Linked DNA regions of Coturnix japonica. The protein of the gene in region 1 purifies or fractionates together with the protein of each later gene. This does not show direct contact. Links are inferred from orthologs where the notes say so. Each region holds a gene or a part of one and is shown on either strand. Other genes may lie near its edges.

What was found.
Region 2: the proteins of IRF2 (region 1) and IRF2BPL purify together in Homo sapiens (affinity purification with mass spectrometry; 3 studies listed by BioGRID and IntAct, counting the BioPlex papers as one, with this or other methods). This does not show direct contact. The link is inferred for Coturnix japonica from reciprocal best matches to the Homo sapiens genes IRF2 and IRF2BPL.

What each region holds. Positions count from the first base shown.
Region 1 is NC_029519.1:34,979,665-34,984,132, reverse strand, and holds the start of IRF2 (interferon regulatory factor 2), read right to left. Parts: upstream 2,932-4,468; 5' UTR 2,687-2,931; intron 2,092-2,686; exon of another isoform or gene 1,987-2,091; intron 941-1,986; exon of another isoform or gene 1-940. UniProt on the Homo sapiens protein: Specifically binds to the upstream regulatory region of type I IFN and IFN-inducible MHC class I genes (the interferon consensus sequence (ICS)) and represses those genes. Also acts as an activator for several genes including H4 and IL7.
Region 2 is NC_029520.1:35,383,902-35,388,350, reverse strand, and holds the start of IRF2BPL (probable E3 ubiquitin-protein ligase IRF2BPL), read left to right. Parts: upstream 1-1,587; 5' UTR 1,588-2,199; coding exon 2,200-4,425; 3' UTR 4,426-4,449. UniProt on the Homo sapiens protein: Probable E3 ubiquitin protein ligase involved in the proteasome-mediated ubiquitin-dependent degradation of target proteins. Through the degradation of CTNNB1, functions downstream of FOXF2 to negatively regulate the Wnt signaling pathway.

The DNA.
Region 1 (4,468 bases):
CATCCTTCTCACTGAGCACAAAACATTAACTTGCTGAAAGATGTCTTTTTACCTCTGCTGAACCACTCCACTTTGCTTTCTGGCTTCTTCAGCTCTTGTGGTATTGCTGGCAGATGCCATGCAAGTGCTTTGAGCCTCTGTTATGCTGCCTTTGAAGAATTACATGCCACCTGCAAGTATTTTACACTTCTGAGTGCCTCTCCCCCTTAGAAACTGTTTTCTTCTTTCATGAAGATCTACTATGGAGAATTACCCACAGACGCCCCTGGTTTTACTGCTCCTGAAACAACGCTTCTCTGCTCTACTTTAACATATGACAGCCAGTCAACACCTTGAACCACGCAGCCTTCATCTACGCTCTTCCTATTTAGGCCAGGAGCACCAATTCACGAGGTCCTGTGCTATTTCCTGTCACAGGCGGCCTTTAACAACCAGCACCCGTCGTGCACATAGATGCTATCCCATCCTTAGGCCACCTGTAGGCTCTGTCACTACAGTATCTGAGCTTCCACTGCTTCTGATACTCCAAGTACTGTATCCCGGAGATGTATTAACAGCATTGTTAATGCCACAAGGATGGCCCTCTCCAAACAGAGGCTATCTCATAGCAAACTTCACATTCTTCACCTATATGCCTCCATTCTTCACCTATAAGTTTTCCTCAGTTTTGGTTTAAAACTTTTATTTTTACACATGCATATTACACATACATAAGTGTACACTTCAGCTTTAGGCACACATGGATCTATCTAGATAAATCTGTTTTCCTAATGCAGGCTCCTTCTATTCTGAATATATTTCCAGTTCCTCTTGAATCTTAGCACCCATCTTCTCATTAAGTCTCATTAAGACTGCTTTTCTGACGCCACAGACATCTGCAGGCCTCCACACAGCGGAGATTTGGATCCTTACCCCCTGTCTAACAGCAATATTTTACTTCTCAAACCTCCTAGTTACCCCTTTCTATGCAGCATGATCCACCCCACAAGGTTACCTGGCTGTGCCTGTAACAAGCCAAACGCATGGAATAGAGCCTCAGTGAAGCAATGCCGTGCCAAAGGACTCACTGCACACTCGTGCTAACCACACTGTGTTCTGTCAGCAAGAAGAAGCCACAGCATGCTGGGGGCACATGGAGCAATGCCTCTGACAGACACCACCACTATGGGACAGTGAAGCCTCAGAAGGGGTCAGTGGCACGGAAAGGCTGTGATTCAGACAGAAACCATCTGCCTCCCCGACCACTTGTGCTAGTTTTATAATTGTGTCACCATTTCCGCACCAGCGTGAATTCAAATTTCGGTGCTACTTTCAACTCTCTTTATTTGGTACTGCTAAAGGATACTACATGCAAATCTAATTAGATTTAGTAACTAGCATCTTAAACATGAAGTATCTCATCTCTGGTTCTGCTTTACAAGAGCTCCTGTGTGCAACAGATCGCTGTCCAGAAGACCTGAGCACAGTATAAATGACAGATGTATAGGAGCAGCGTTCTGGGTGCTGAAAATGAAATCGATAGAATCACATTAATGGGAGCTCAGCGTATAAACAGCTCAGCCTGAAACTCCCTGCTGCGTCTGGTGCTCAGAGGGATATAAGGAGCTGAACGCCGCTGGGATCCGGCCCTGCTGGGCGAGGCAGTCGTTCATTGCAGAGCCTGGATCCCGGCCGTGTGCCCAGACACAGCTCGGCGCTGCAGTGCAAACAGAACTCCGGCTCCCGACTTCTATTCGGGAAGCTGTCCGGCTCTGGGCCCTTCTCTCGCCGCCTCCCTCCCGGCAGGGCACGAGAGCCGAACGGGAGCAACGTGACAGCGCCCCGTATAAACAAAAGGCCGCTGCTGCTGCCGGATCGGACGGGGAGCGCCGTTCCAGCTCCATCTCCGTTAGGTGCCGCCGATACCGGCCCGCAGCTCGTTCCCACCGCGTACTAAAATGACGAGCGCCCGCTCCCCACAGCCGCGTTTCTCCGCCGGATATTTACAGGCCATCCGAGCGCCGGGGAGCGGCCCTGGGCCCCGCGGCCTCTCGGCCCGAACCACCATCCTCGGCGACCATGGCCGAGGCCGTCCGCTCCGCCCGGGCCCGGCGGCAGCGAGGCGGCAGTGAGGCGGCAGTGAGGCTAACACGCTCGGAGCTGCCGGCCGGTCGGTCGGAGCGGAGGCCGCCGCGCGGGTCGCACCGCCCGCCGCTGGGCGTCACCGCGGCGGAGGGTGGGGGGCGGGGGAGGCGCGGCCGCCGCTTGTGTAACGGCCGGGAGGGGCCGAGCAGCGCTCCCCGCCGCGGCCCTTCCCGCAGCCCCTCGGCCCGCTCCGGCCGGGCCGCGCCCACGCCAACGGCCGCGGCAACAAGTGCGGGGCAAGGGGCGCCGCGCGGCCGGGGGGATCCGAGCGAGGCCCGCTCGCAGCCCAACGCCCCGCCCGGGCCCGCGGCCTCCTCCGGCGCCGGGGCCGCGCTCGGTGCTCCCGTGCCCGCTCCTTTGTCCCCACGGCCAGACGCGCCCAAGCACCGGCAGCACCGCGGCCTCCGAGCCGCCCCGTGCCGCTCTGAGCCGCCCCGCTCCAGGGCCGGGCTCTGCCCGCAGGACGCGCGCACCGCCACGGCGGTACCGGTGTAAAAAAACAGCACGAGCAGAACAACAAATGAGACACGAAATAAATCACACGGCTACGGGCGCTCGTTACCTTTCCGGAGCGTCTTCGCGGCACTTATATAATTCCTCAAGGTTACCGCCGTTGCCAGGGGACGCGAAATGGAAATGAAAACAGGCGCTGAATAATCGCGGGAGCAAAACTAAAAGTTACTCCCTCCGCCCGGGCCGCGAAAGGTCCAGATCGAAAGCAAAACAAGGAGAGGAAGCGGCGAGCCGCCGGCGCTTGGAAATCCCCCCGCCTCCCGCCGGGCCGGGCGGCCGCGCAGCGGCGGGGGCAGGGCTGCGGAGCCCGTCATCAAGCGGCTCGGCCCCGGCCCGCCCGCAGCACGCCCGGCAGCCACGGACACGGGGCCCGAGCGGAGCCACGACGTCCCGACGGGGCCGGGAGCCGCGGGGCGTTCGGAGCCGTGGGCCGCAACCGTGTGGGGACAGCAGGGCGGGACTAGGAGCGCTAAGCACGGCGCTTAGGAGCCGGCATCGCTTCGCCAAAGTTCTCGGTCTGCGGCAGGTTCTGCCAACCGCCTTCAGTGTCTGCGTGCCGAGGAGGTGCGAATGGCTGAAGGGAGACCGGGTGCGTCATCTCTGCCCAGAGATGATGAGGGAAAGGCCTCGAGCACGGTGGGAGATAAGGAATAACTCATTGTAAAAGGTCCTGCTTAAATGCAGTGTGTGGCATCCACACCTGTCCTGCATATGTGCACGTCTATACATTACCTTTACATTCTTGCACACGTGTTCAGGTGGGTGAGCTGTATCCACAAAGCCAAACCAGGTAACTGGAAACTCAGGCTGAATCTTTACGGGCTTGAGGTCTCTGTAGGAAATGGTGGCGCACTGAGCCGGCAGTGCTGACCCCAAGCAGGATGGAGGCCGCCCCTACACCAGCTGTGACCAGTGTGAGAATCCACCCAGCTCAGTCATCATCACGCTGGGGAAGGTCAGCTGGGTGCCCCTCAGTTGTCACGAAGCTGGTGTGGAGCTGCAGAACAGAGCACAACCAGGAGCCCATCAACCTCCCAGAGCAGCAGCAAAGGCTCAGGGGAGAGCAGCAAAGACAACTGAGAACATGGAGTGCCCCTGGTGCCCCAGTGACTGCACAGTCTGGGGTCTTTTAGGCTGCAGAGACTGTAGTAGAGAAAAGTAGGGATGCGTTGCTTGCTTTTCTAGCGTAAGAACTAGAGAGCATCAAACGAAACTAGCAGGTGTCGGGTTAAAAGCAGTCGGGAGGAGGAGGCTCTATGCACAGCAGTTAATTGAACAGTAGTATTTCCTGCTTTAAAGTTCCAAGAGGTCACAGGGCATCAAAAAGCACCCGAGCACGCTCGCAGAAGGAAAAAGCACGAGGTGCTGTTAAGCGTGAAGACTGCATCAAACTACCCCCTAAGCAAGTGATTTCTAGAGGCTGGAAGCTGCTTTGAGGCTGCAACAGTATCCATAGACCTCTGCATCTCCATCTCAGTGGGATGTGTTTTCTTAATGGGTTTTGCTTCGAGCACTTTGCTGTGTGGCACAAAGGGCCCAGCCGTGAATGCCTGCAGCCTGCCCAGCACTGCTCAGCCTGCAGAGGGAAAGGTTGGCCTGGCTGGTTCTGCAGTGCTCTGTGGCTATTGGCATTTCCAGTGTACGCTCTTAATTTGTTTGCAGGATGAGTGAGCTATGAAAGTCCGTAGTTGATGCCTCAGCAGATGCCGTGGGAAGAATGCTTACAGTCTCACTAATAATTTAATCTCACATTCAGAGGACACTTTATTCACCAAGTGGGCAGCCTGTGAATGACACAGTTGCCTTCCTGGAGGAACAACAACCAGCAGAA
Region 2 (4,449 bases), on another chromosome or scaffold:
AAGGGCCCTTTCGCAGGGTTCGGGGCGGCGGGGCCCCGGTGCCGGCGAGGCCCTACGAGGTGCCCGGCCCCAGCTCCGCGCGGCGAGGGAAAACGGCGCCGCTCCGGCCACCTCCGCGTTCTCAGCGGGCCCGAGCTGTTCCCGCAGCTCCGCTCCGCTTCTCGTGCGAAGATCGGCACGGGGCGGGACGAGGGCAGGACGGGGGGCCGACCTCGCGTGAGCTGCGGCGAGCGGAGGTGACCCGCTCGGTCAGGGGGAGGCGTGCGGGAGCTCAGCCCGGCGGCTGCCGGGAGCGCGTCCTGCCCGTGTGCGGGGGCTGCGGGCTGCGGGCTCACAGCTCCGTGTGGATCAACGCGTTACAGCTCAGCTCCTCGGGGAGCCGGATCCGCGCCGCCAGCCCCGTGTGCGCGTCTCGTGAAGCTTCTCCTTTAACACAGCTCCCCTCACACACGTTTCAAATTCGTTTGCCAGCTTCGTATATTATAACCGGACGCATATAAACCGCTTTAGATAACTAAAAATGGAAATGAGACGCAGTGGCGATACGAAAGGAATTATTTAAAGGAACAACTTTTCGTCACGTGAGCCGTGGAACGTTATTAGCCGGGCACGAGGCAGCTTTGTGCTCGGGTCTCAGGCGCCAGTCAGCGGCCGCGCGTACGGGAGCGTGCGCTCGCACGCATCGCTGTCCGGCCCCGGCGCAGCCCCACAAATCCCGCAGCGCAGCGCAGCGCGTTGCCGCGCCCCCAGCGCGGTTCGGGGGCAGCTCCGCGGCCGCCCGGCGCGGCGGTGGCTCCCGGGTCGCGCTGACGCGGCGGGGGCGCCGTGCCCCTCGCGAGCCGCGGGCCGCGCCCGTGACGCAACCGCGCTCCCGGCACGAGCGGCGCCGCTTCGCGCGACTCCGGCGTCCGCCGCGCCGCTCCGCCCACGGAGCTCGGCGGGGAAGGGCCGGCCCCGTTTGTGTTTCGCTTTCCCCCCGCCGTTAACGTTCCGCTTCTTCGCGTGGAGCGGAGTCGATGCGAGCGCTCTGCCCGGTGGCGGCGTTACGCGAGCATCGGCGGCCGGTTAAAGGGGCAAACGGCCGCGCGTTTCGACGGCGCGGGGGCAATCCTCGTCCTCCCCGCGTGAGCATCTCGGCGGTCCCTCGCCCGCCGCCCCGCCTTACACGGCACCGCGGGGTCGCACACGCGGCGCCGCCGGGGCACGCGGGACCCCTCCGGCAGAGCGCCGGGCGCCGGCGGCCTCACGCCCGGCAAACGAGAGTGAACCGAGAAGGCGCGGCCCCGGAGCGGCGCGCACGCACGCGGCCGCGGCGCGGAGAGGCGCTCCCCGCCGCCGTACCCCGCGGCCGGGCAGGGCGCCGGGCATGCGTGCTACGCGCAACAAGTGGATGCGCGGCGCGGGCGGAGGAAGGCGGCGGGGGAGCGGGGCGCGGAGCCGGGTCGTGACGCGGGGCCCCGCCCGGGCGAGCCGCCCCGCCCCGCGCCGAGCCGGGCAGGGCTGAGCCATGCTGGGCTGAGCCATGCTGAGCGGAGCCGGGCGCGCGGAGGAGGGGCGGCGCGGGGGGAGCGCGGCGCGGCGCGGAGGAGGGGGCGCGCGGGCACGGCGGCGGCGGCGCGCGGTAGCGCGCTCGGACTGCGAGACGGCGGCGAGGATGTGAGTGAGGAGCAGGCGGCGCCGCTCGCCACGCTGCTGCCGCTCCGCCGCCGCTCGAGGAAGTCGCGGCGCTCCGCCCGGGTGCCTCTCGTCGGCGGGACGGATCGGATCGGTTCGGCTCGGATCGGCGCGTAGGGAACGGAGCGCGAGCTCGGCGGGCGGCCGCGGCGGGTGGAAGGTGACCCCCTCCCCCCCCCCCCCCCCCCCCCCCCCCCCCCCCCCCCCCCCCGTCTTCCTCCGAGCACCTCCGCCTCCTCCCGGAGGAGGAGCAGCGCCGGAGAGGCAGAGAGCGCCGGGAAACAGACGCGGCGAGAAGGCGACCCCCGCCCAGCCCCCCGCGGCAGCGGCAGACGCCGATCCCCTCCCCGCCGGGGCAGCAGCGCCGGGAGCGGGCGGCGGCGGCCGTCCCCGGCTAACAGCGGGCGAGCCTCGGCCGCGAGCGGCGCCCGGAGCGGGTACGGACGCTCTTTCCAGCTCCGGCCCGCGGGGGAAGAGCGAGGCGGCCCCGACAGCGGCGGCGTCGGCTCCCCGGCCAGCGGCACCATGTCCGCCGCGCAGGTGTCGTCGTCCCGGCGGCAGTCGTGCTACCTGTGCGACCTGCCCCGCATGCCCTGGGCCATGATTTGGGACTTCACGGAGCCCGTCTGCCGCGGCTGCGTCAACTACGAGGGAGCCGACCGTATCGAGTTCGTTATAGAGACGGCGCGGCAGCTGAAGCGGGCGCACGGCTGCTTCCAGGACGGCCGTTCCCCGGGCCCCCCGCCGCCCGTCGGCGTCAAAGCGGTGCCGCTCTCGGCCAAGGAGGCGGCGGCGGCGGCCGCGGCGGCCCAGCAGCAGCTCAACCATGTGGACGCGTCCTCCAAGGCGGCTTCGGGGCTCTCCCAGTCGGGCCTGGAACGCTACGGGCTGAGCGCGGCGGCGGCCGAGCAGCGCGGCCGCTTCGAGTACCCGCCTCCTCCGGGCAGCCTGGGCGGCGGCCACGGCGCCCGCCTGCCCAACGGGCTCGGGGGGCCCAACGGCTTCCCCAAGGCGCCCGAGGACGGCCCGCCGGAGCTCAACCGCCAGAGCCCCAACTCGTCGTCGTCGTCGTCCTCCTCCCGCCGCGGCGCGCACGGCGGGCTGGTGTCCGGCCTGCCCCCGGGGGCGGCGGGCGCGCAGCTCAACGTTCCCCCCAACCTGCTGCCGCAGACCCTGCTCAACGGGCCCGCCGCCTCCGGCGTGGCGCTGCCTCCGCCGCACGGGGGCCTGAGCGGCCGCGGCGGCGGCGGCCCCCAGGCGCCCTCCGCCTCCTCCCAGGCGGGTGCGTGCGGCGGCGGCGGCGGCGCCGGGGGAGGCGGCGGCCCGGCCCCGGAGGGCTGCGGCAAGCGGCCGGGCTCGGTGTCCAGCAGCGACCAGGAGCGCGAGCTGAAGGAGAAGCAGCGCAACGCCGAGGCGCTGGCCGAGCTGAGCGAAAGCCTGCGGAACCGGGCCGAGGAGTGGGCCAGCAAGCCCAAGATTGTGCGGGACACGCTGCTGACGCTGGCCGGCTGCACGCCCTACGAGGTGCGCTTCAAGAAGGATCACGCCCTGCTCGGCCGCGTTTTCGCCTTCGACGCCGTCTCCAAACCGGGCATGGACTATGAGCTGAAGCTCTTCATCGAGTACCCCAGCGGCTCCGGCACGGTCTTTTCCAGCGCCTCCGGCGTGGCCAAGCAGATGTACCAGGACTGCATGAAGGACTTCGGCCGCGGCCTCTCCTCGGGCTTCAAGTACCTGGAGTACGAGAAGAAGCACGGCTCCGGCGACTGGCGGTTGCTGGGGGACCTGCTGCCCGAGTCCGTGCGCTTTTTCAAGGAGCTGGTGGGCGCCGACATGCTGCCGCAGCCGTACCTGGACGCCAGCTGCCCCATGCTGCCCACGGCGCTGGTGAGCCTCCCGCGGCCGGGGGCCGGCGCCGGCGGGACTCAGGGCGCGGCCGCAGCCTCCCGGGGCCCGGGCGGCGGCGGCGGCGGCGGGAGCGGGGCCATGCGCAAGAGGAAGGCGTCCCCCGAGCCCTCGGACTCGGCCGAGGGGGCCCTGAAGCTGAGCGACGAGCAGCAGCGGCAGCAGTGGATGGCCAGTCAGAGCGAAGCCCTCAAGCTCACCATGTCGGCCGGGGGCTTCGGGGCGGTGCACGGCGGGGGCCCCCCGCCGCCGCCACCGCCGCCCCTCGGGCCCCACTCCAACAGGACCACGCCGCCCGAGTCCGCCCCCCAGAACGGACAGTCCCCCATGGCCGCGCTCATGTCGGTGGCCGACACGCTGGGCAATGCCCACTCGCCCAAGGACGGCAGCTCGGTGCACTCCACCACTTCTACCCGCAGGAACAGCAGCAGCCCCGTGTCGCCGGCCTCCGTGCCGGGCCAGCGCCGCCTGGCCTCCCGCAACGGGGACATGAACCTGCAAGTGGCCCCTCCTCCCCCCAGCGCCCACCCCGCCATGGACCAAGTGCACCCCCAAAACATTCCGGACTCCCCCATGGCCAACAGCGGGCCCCTGTGCTGCACCATTTGCCACGAACGCTTGGAGGACACCCACTTTGTTCAGTGCCCTTCGGTGCCCAGCCACAAGTTCTGCTTCCCCTGTTCCAGAGAGAGCATCAAGGCCCAGGGGGCGACCGGCGAGGTCTACTGCCCCAGCGGAGAGAAATGTCCCCTCGTAGGTTCCAATGTGCCTTGGGCGTTTATGCAGGGCGAGATCGCTACCATCCTAGCCGGGGACGTTAAAGTGAAAAAGGAGAGAGACCCTTGAGTAGGAAATCCGATCCCTTCAGGC